2 linked regions of the Oryctolagus cuniculus genome follow. The protein of the gene in region 2 purifies or fractionates together with the protein of the main gene of each other region. This does not show direct contact. Links are inferred from orthologs where the notes say so. Each region holds a gene or a part of one and is shown on either strand. Other genes may lie near its edges. The genes, in order: PTPN11 and SLAMF1.

Region 1 (3,810 bases), on a different chromosome or scaffold from region 2:
CCCACCACTGCCTTCACGACAAAGGCCGTGGCAGTAGGGTCCTCAGCTCCTGGGCTGCATCTGAGGCCAAAAGCTCACACAGCACAACTTCCGTTCTCACGTGAACTGAAAGCAGAAGTGCCAGCCCGTTTCCGTGAGACGCTTTCACATTCGAATTCCCTTCCCCAGCGCCTTCCTTCCAGGAACTAACAGCCGGAGCTGCAGCTTCTGGCCCTCCGGGAGACCTACCTTTTTCTCTGATGATGTCAATAAGGATATCAATCACAATAAACGTCCCTGTCCGGCCGATTCCAGCACTGTGGGCAGAAGGACAAGACGCAGGGAGAGTGGAATCACTCACGGGAGTTTTATACCCAAAAACCAAGCTATTAATATTAACAGAAACAATATCTGCTCTTGGGAGTACTTATAACATAGTATGTTTATATCTGAAGATATATTAGCAACGAACACAGAGCTTTGCCATCAGCCAACCAGGGCTTAAAGCCCAACTTCTCCAGTACCGTGTGCCTGAGGCAAGCCCTGCAGTGTCCCCTCCTGTGCAATGGGGACAACAGCAATGCTTCACAGACTACGGTGAGGATAAGACATAATAATGGAGGGGGGCCGGCGCTGTGGCGTAGCAGGTAGCACTGAGCCTGCAGTGCCGGCATCCCATATGGGTGCCAGTTCGAGTCCCGGCTGCTCCACTTCCAATCCAGCTCTCTGCTGTGGCCTGGAAGATGGTCCAAGTCCTTGGGCCCCTGCACCCATGTGGGAGACGAGGAAGAAGTTCCTGGCTCCTGGCTTCAGATCAGCGCAACTCCCGCCCTTGCAACCATTTGGGGAGTGAACCAGCAGATGCAAGATCTCTCTCTCTCCGCCTCTGCTACTCTGTAACTCTGCCTCTCAAATAAATAATTTTTTTTAAAAAATAATAATGTAGGAAAAGCACTTAATTCAGAGGTTAGGACAATAAATGGCAGTTTTTTAAAAAACAGAACAAGTAAGTCCTCTCACACATCTACTTGTCCAACACACAAATGAGATTAGGAAATCAGACTTCCCCAAGTACAATCACGAAGCGCAGACTTGGATACCAGCAGCCAGCACATTCTGGTGCAGGGCTCGGCTTCCATCAAAGGCCTCGGCACGAAGCAGTTGGAATCTTTTGAAGCAAATAAGCACAAGGACAGGGTCGGGGAAAATACGTGAGGGGACATCAAAAAGTTTGTGGGAAGTGGAGCTAAAAGATAAGTTTCCTTGGGTGCAAAGAAAAATTGTGAAATCTACACACAGCATTTTAGAACATGCATTTTCCACTAACTCGGTGAACACCCTTCATCTCTTACTTCCTCAGCGGAAGAGAACAGAATCACAAAGAGATGGACCCTAAATTACTGGATTTCAAAAGAAAACGTAGTCAGAAGCACTAGACGGGGCGTCGGTGAGAACAAGGGCTGTGTCCAGCCCGCCCACCAGCCCGACCCCGCAGTCCTGCAGGGTCTGTAGGAAGCGAGCATCCCTACTGCAGCCTGTTCAGGCCTTAAGCACAGGTAAACTGCCAGGGATGGCCGGTGAAAGCAGCCCTGGGGGGCAGGCACAGGCTGCGGCAGGAGGGGCAGGGGCTGTCACCTGCAGTGAACCACGACCGGGCCGGCGTCCATGATGCTCTCCTGCTTGTGGTGGACCTCCTCCAGGAAGTCCAGCACGCCCCCGGGGTCGCTGGGCACGCCGTGGTCCGGCCAGGTCCGAAAGTGGTATTGCCAGACCGTTCTCTCCGTATTCCCCTGGAGTAGAGCCAAGAAAAACCAGAACCGAATTAAATAAATCAAGGGGTGGAGGAGCCGCCCGGTTCTGAGCTTTCCCACCTGCTACGGAAGTCACCGGTGCTGGCGGGCCCAGCGGCGCTCAGTCGCCACCTAAAGGCCCACTTGAGTCTCCAGGGCGCTCCCGTGCCAAGAAGCCAAGCAGACAGACTTTGGGAGTCGGGTGGGGAGGTTTAGGCTCAAACCCCAGATATTCACACTCACTCCAGCCCTTGGGCAGCTCTGAGCCTCAATGTCTCCATGTGCAAAATGTGAAGAATCACCTCTCTCTCGCCGCCTCTCTATACCACTGTGGGGACGGACAGCTCAGCGGCACACTGCCACTGGCCAGCACCCGAGGGCTGATCTGAGGACAGGGATCGCAAACAGAGACAGCGAAGGCCCCGAGACTGCAGGAGACAAGGGGGATTATGTCTGTGCTCAGCCCAGCCCAGGTCACTGCAGTGGCACTAGTCATGGCTACCCAGTCCCTGCATATCTGGGGACAACCCAAGGCAAGCGACAATTACAAAGGTAGCTGCCAAGCAGAAATGAGAGACCGAGGTGCCGGAGACGCTTATCTTCGGTTCTGTTGACAAATGCCCCATCTTCTCATCACCACGGGTTTCTGAGTAGCTGTCAGGACACCCCCCACACCCCCCGCCACCTCCCCGCGTAGCTCCTTTGCAGTAGCACACTGGCCCAGGAGTTTGGCACCCTGGGTGCAGGTGCTGATGGAAGACTGCTGGTTTCTCCTGAATCCTGGTAATGTGGTTTCTATTTTGTACAGAATTTTATATTTTCTCTAAAGCACTGCCATGCAACATCACATAAGCTCCACCCTGCCCAGGAAGGAAGAATTAGGGCAGAGACCTTGTTGACCGTTTTCCAAGGTGCAGGGCGTGGACATGCAGCCACTCTGGGGGCAGGTCTCTCACTCCCTGACAGTGGAGCTGCCTGGTTTAGGGGCCACCCTGGAACATCAGCTCTGAGAGAGACCTGCCCCACGGACTCCATCTCAAGGCCCCAGTCACTCAGGAACACACCAACCACCCTGGGCCCCTACAGACTGAACTCAGGGAGCTCAATTTACTCTAAATGTCCTTTCTCCCCAGGCACTGGGAGGGCACAGCCATGCCTGTCTCGTTCACATGCACCAGGAGTGCCTGACTGTGCTTGGCACACAGAAGGTATCCCAACAACGGCTACTTAATCAATGTGTGAAGCCAGGCAGGAGTGCACGCACACAAGCGTAGCTGCAGGACCCTGGACCACTGCACACCACGAGCCCCGGCCTCTAAAATACGACAATATACTTACTTGTCCGACCTTCGAAAGTTTAAGTTCTCTTAAGGTATAGTCATGAGCGGCACTTTCTTTGACGTTCCTAACACGCATGACACCGTATTCTTTTAGAGCATACTCATCGGGCCAGTATTTGACACATTTACTCTGGAAGGGACCAGAGAAAAGACAGTTAACCTCCGTGAGCTCCCAACAAAAGCCTAGGCTGGCAGCAAACAGTCTAACAGGGAAATGGCACGTCTGGCTTCTTCGTGTGGCTCAACAGTTAACTCACGACCTGGGACAAGCGCAGCCCCTGTCAGAGCTGGGTGCCAGCCCTGGCTACTCTGCTTCCTGGAAATTCAGCTTCCTGCTAACACAAGAAGGCTGATGCTGGGAGGCAGTAGATTACAGCTCAAGTCCTTGGGCTCTGCCACCCATGTGAGAGACCCGGACTTGAGTTCCGGGTTCCTGGCTTTAGCATGACCCAGCCTTGACTGTTGCAGGCATTTGTGGCGTCAAATGGGGATGGAGGACTTCTCTCCCTCACACACACACACTCACTCTCTCTTACTCTCTCTGCCTTTGAAACAAAATGAAAATAAATAGATAAAAATATAAGGAAGGAAGGGCTCAAAGAAGAAAAGCAGGTGCTGGGCCGGCGCCACAGCTCAATAGGCTAATCCTCCGCCTGTGGCACCAGCACCCCAGGTTCTAGTCCTGGTCAGGGCGCTGGATT
Region 2 (4,411 bases):
AAGAGGAGCAACCAGGACTAGAACAGGCACCCATATGACAGAGGATTAACCTAGTGTGACATGGCACAGGCTCCAAAATGTCCTTTTTTAAGTTAAAGAAATGTGAGACAATAAAGAAATGTGTTGGAACATCACTTGTTCATTAGTGACACTGACAAATCAGATGACAGTTTTTGAATACTAAGAAAATATTTTCCCTGTTTTTTTTTTTTTTTACATCATCTTCAACATAAGGGCTATAGTCACGGCACATGTTTCCCTGTCACTTTTCACATCTAGACAGTATTATAATAAATGAAAGCTCCGGCTTATATTGTTTACTGATTTCCATGGTATAAATCCCCATGTCTGATTCCAGGCTCCCAACATGATGTCGTTGAATGAAGAGCTGGGAAGAGAGTCGCAGCAGCATCCATGACCTAGTAACTTACTTCCACCACAAAGAGACACTAGCTTTAACAATAGTAACTTCATAAAATAATTAGTAAGTATTGAGTAATTAGAGGGTTTTATTCCCTCCATTTTAAACATAATTTATTCAGTGTAAGTTTGTGTAAATACATGTATCTTAATAATGGCCGTGTTTATCAATCAGCTCACAGTTTCCTGAAAATATAATAATTGGCTTTCATGAGTTGATCTGTACTGGCTCTATCGCAAGATAGAGTGTCGTGCTGTGGGAACCATGGTTGGCTACTGGGTGAAGAAGGAAGGGGAACGGTGAGAATAAAGAGCAAGTTCCCACATATAACCAATTCTTATCACCCTGATCCCCTTGGAGAGGCCAATAGGAGAGTGTCTTTGACCTTTAAGGTGGGTTCCAATTATGCTGACCTGGCCTTCCAAAGCCTCCTTGAGAGCACTGGTGGTAACAGCGTCTTCCCGTGTTCTATTCTCATAGCTCAACTCAGAACAGCACAGGGTCTCCTCCACCAATTCTAGCCATTTCTCTTCAATGAAAAGCCACACATTCCAAAATAAAGGTAACTCCCCAAAGCATGGCACAGGGCTCACTATATTCCAGCACATTGTATCCACAGGGAAACTGGATTTCTGCCAAGAAATCCACACCCCCACCCCCCACCCCACCTCTCTGTGCCTGTGGCACCAGGGCTGGAGTGCAGGCAGAAGTGTTCTCTGAGATTATAGGGCAAATGCATAGGAAGAGTTCTATCAGTTCAATAAAATTCAGTCATCTAAGTTGAGCTTGGAGCTGGCACATTTGAGGCTTGGCTTGACGAAACTCCCTCTTTTCTTTGCACTCTTAGAAGAGTTGTCAGAGGGAACTGCTCAGAGAAGTCATGACATCCATTTCCTGGAGACAGCGAAGGAGAGTAGGAAGGGAGCCCATTTCAACCCCACTCGGGGGTTTGGCCGGGATGACTACACAACCCTTTTCCCGGCTCCAGTAATGTAAGTGCCTGACTCGTACGTGTTTCTTGAGAACAAAAAGTGACTTCAGGCCTGAAGAGAGATGAGCAATCCTCGAGACACAGGCAGAAAAAGTCCCAAGTGAGACAGGAAGCTAGTTCAGGAACCTGCTGGCTGCTGATGTGTAAACTAGACAGCAGAGGCAGCACTGCTGACACGCAGCCCGCTTCTGCTGCCGTGCCTGCGAGCGGCCGCCGGGCTCCCGGCCAGGCCCCCTTCCCTCTCCTCGCTGGCTGATGGATACCAAGGGGTACTTCTCCTGGAGCCTCCTGCTGGTCCTGTCCCTGGCTTTTGGACTGAGCTACGTAGCGGGTGAGTGTTCTTCTGTTTAGGGGTTTGAGTCCCACAGCTAGCTGCTGGGGACCAGCATAGCCTTGTGGATGGAGAGAAGGCATAGGGGCTGGGGACTGTGGGTCAGCTGCCTCTTCCTTAGGGACTGGCTGTGAGTTTTGACTGCCTCTTTAAGGAGGAAGGACCATTATGAGTTCCTGGGCCCTTGGGTTCCCTGCCTTAACCTCATCAACCCTAGTTTCCAAGGAAACCAGGAGCTCCTAGCCAAAGGCATCTGTCACACTCAAAACCAGCCTCTCATCACAAGAGGTTCTCACCGGGGTCCTATCCAAGCGGGTTGATTTTGCATGACTACCCTTCGGCAAGACCCAGGCTTTGGGGGACAGATCCCTAGGATATGATTTGTCTGAATGCTTACATATACAAGCACACAAACCAGAATCTGGCCCAACAAAAAGCAAGGGCTACAGTGAGAAGAAAGGGTAAGAAGTGAAAACCCCAGGCCTTTGGTTGAGAACAAAAACAGTGGCCTCAGTGTGGTCATACTGGTGGCTACTTTCTTGGAAGAGAAGCTTCCAAAGCAACAGAAGGGGGTAATATTGGGATTTCTGAACCCAAGGCTGGTTACAGTATGTGGGAAATGCAAATTGAAAGCCCTCAGGGTCAGAGTGGCTTCAGCAGTAGAGCCAGATGGCAGCTGAAACTTTGGAGCTGGGCTTGTCTGCCTCTCAAGGCAAACTATTTTTTTCTGCTTAGTAGTTTCAGGGCTTGAGATTAAAAAAAAAAAATGCCAAACAAGAAAATAGACATTAGGCTGTTGGCATGAGGAGGAGAAGGATCTCCTGCCTACACCCCTGCGACTTAAGTTAGACTTTGGGAGGCAACCTGGAATAGAGGAGGCATTAGAGAAAGGGGCAGGGGGAAACCCTGAGGCCCAGGGTGTTTTTGGGGTTTTCAAGACCACAGATCCATCATAGACTTTGGCAGGAAAAGCCCCGGGATCTATGAGGGATGCAGGGAAGCCGTGTGTGGGATCTACCTCGTGCCAGTCTCCCAGGTAAAGAGGCCTTTCCATGGCCTCACTCTCTTGCAGAATCAACAAAATCAGAGTTCTTACTTGTGGGATCTAGAAAAGGGACAACTGAACACAGGGCTCAGAAGGCCACACTGGACCACTTAGAGTGATCACAGGGAGAGCCAAGCTTCCCTTGTTGTACCTCATTTGTGACTTAGGTTTTTGGCATGCTTGTGTGTGACTGTAAGGAATGATGGATTGTCCTAGCGGTTGGATTTTCTGTCTCCATGCTTATTTGAATGGTCAAGTCAGTTACACTGGTCAGTCCAGCTCAAGGTATTTCTCATACAGCTTACAGCGGCTCTGGAGGTAGTTGGTGAGGGAGAAATGGCCCAGCCCCAGAAGGCGTGTCTGCTCAATTGGCTGCTGCTCCTTCACTTGTGTTCCATCTTCTGAAATGTATACAAAATTTTTTCAGTCTTTCTCTTCAAATATGCACCCTTTTGTGAAACCCCAATAAAACCCAGACGGAAACACTTTGCAAATGGGACAGGTCAGTCATGACAGATTTACCCAACCAAGGTTTGATTCTTGTAAAATCAGCAACACTCTCCTTTCCATCTCTGCTCAGCTCAACTTCCAATTCCCAGTCAAAATCATAAAAGCCTAAAAATTCACATGTCCCCTTCCCAGCTCCCACCAAGGAAATTTTTCTTAGAAGATTTTATTTTTAGAGCAGGTTTAGGTTGACAGCAAATGTAGCAGAAGGCAGAGGTTTCCTAAAACCCTCTGCCCCACACAGACAGAGCCTCTTCTGTTATCCATACCTCCTACTATGGTGGTACATTTGTTAAACTTGATAAACCCAAAAAAGATTTTTTCCTTTTTCCATGCAGGACTTCCTCATCCTCTTCACATACAGGGGCTAAGAGGTGAGAAGCAAGCATACAGTTCTAGCCTTGACCTGACCTTGTGTGTTTAATGGTCCATTGTATTCCAGGATGTTGATCTAGGTGCTTGTAGTTCCCAAAAGCTTTCCTACTGTGACATCTAAACTAACTCCAGGACTGGAGTGGAAATCAGAACACCAGGACATTTTGGTTTTATCCATAGATGGACTTTGGGTGATATCTTTTAAGCAGCTATCTATTAAGAAAACATGATATGGTAAGCATTGTACAAAGTGTGGAGAAAGCAAATAGAATGATCACAGCCACTGCCTAGCCCCTGGCACAGTTGTTTGTATGTGAAAGTGCATCCAGAAATGTTTGTTGAAAGAAGAATGTTAGTACACATTTCATATTTGCTATGTACCGGGCACTGTTCTAAGTGCTTTGTGTGTATCTGTCATTTACGTCTCACACCAATGCTATGAGATGTATTATCATTATTACCATTACAAATTTATAAAAAAGGGAGGAGAGGTATGGAGTAATTTAACAGTTTCTCCATGCTCATACAACCTGACACCGGAGATCTCAATGAATGAAACTGGAGAACATTATGCCTGGAAAGCGGGGATGATGCTGAAATTTGCATCCAGCTCTCATGGTATAAGTTAGAATATGCGTTCTATAATTGAACTGTGTGAGTTGGATTGAATTACACGGAAGTATAGCATTCTCAAATGGTGAGAAATGTTGATAAAAATTATAGATTGTGGAGAGCATTTAA

Evidence for each region.
Region 1: the proteins of SLAMF1 (region 2) and PTPN11 purify together in Homo sapiens (affinity purification with western blotting; 3 studies listed by BioGRID and IntAct, with this or other methods). This does not show direct contact. The link is inferred for Oryctolagus cuniculus from reciprocal best matches to the Homo sapiens genes SLAMF1 and PTPN11.

What each region holds. Positions count from the first base shown.
Region 1 is NC_091452.1:9,792,574-9,796,383, reverse strand, and holds part of PTPN11 (tyrosine-protein phosphatase non-receptor type 11), read right to left. Parts: intron 3,240-3,810; coding exon 3,108-3,239; intron 1,782-3,107; coding exon 1,615-1,781; intron 297-1,614; coding exon 229-296; intron 1-228. UniProt on the Homo sapiens protein: Acts downstream of various receptor and cytoplasmic protein tyrosine kinases to participate in the signal transduction from the cell surface to the nucleus. Positively regulates MAPK signal transduction pathway. Dephosphorylates GAB1, ARHGAP35 and EGFR.
Region 2 is NC_091438.1:38,256,008-38,260,418, forward strand, and holds the start of SLAMF1 (signaling lymphocytic activation molecule), read left to right. Parts: upstream 1-1,524; 5' UTR 1,525-1,667; coding exon 1,668-1,743; intron 1,744-4,411.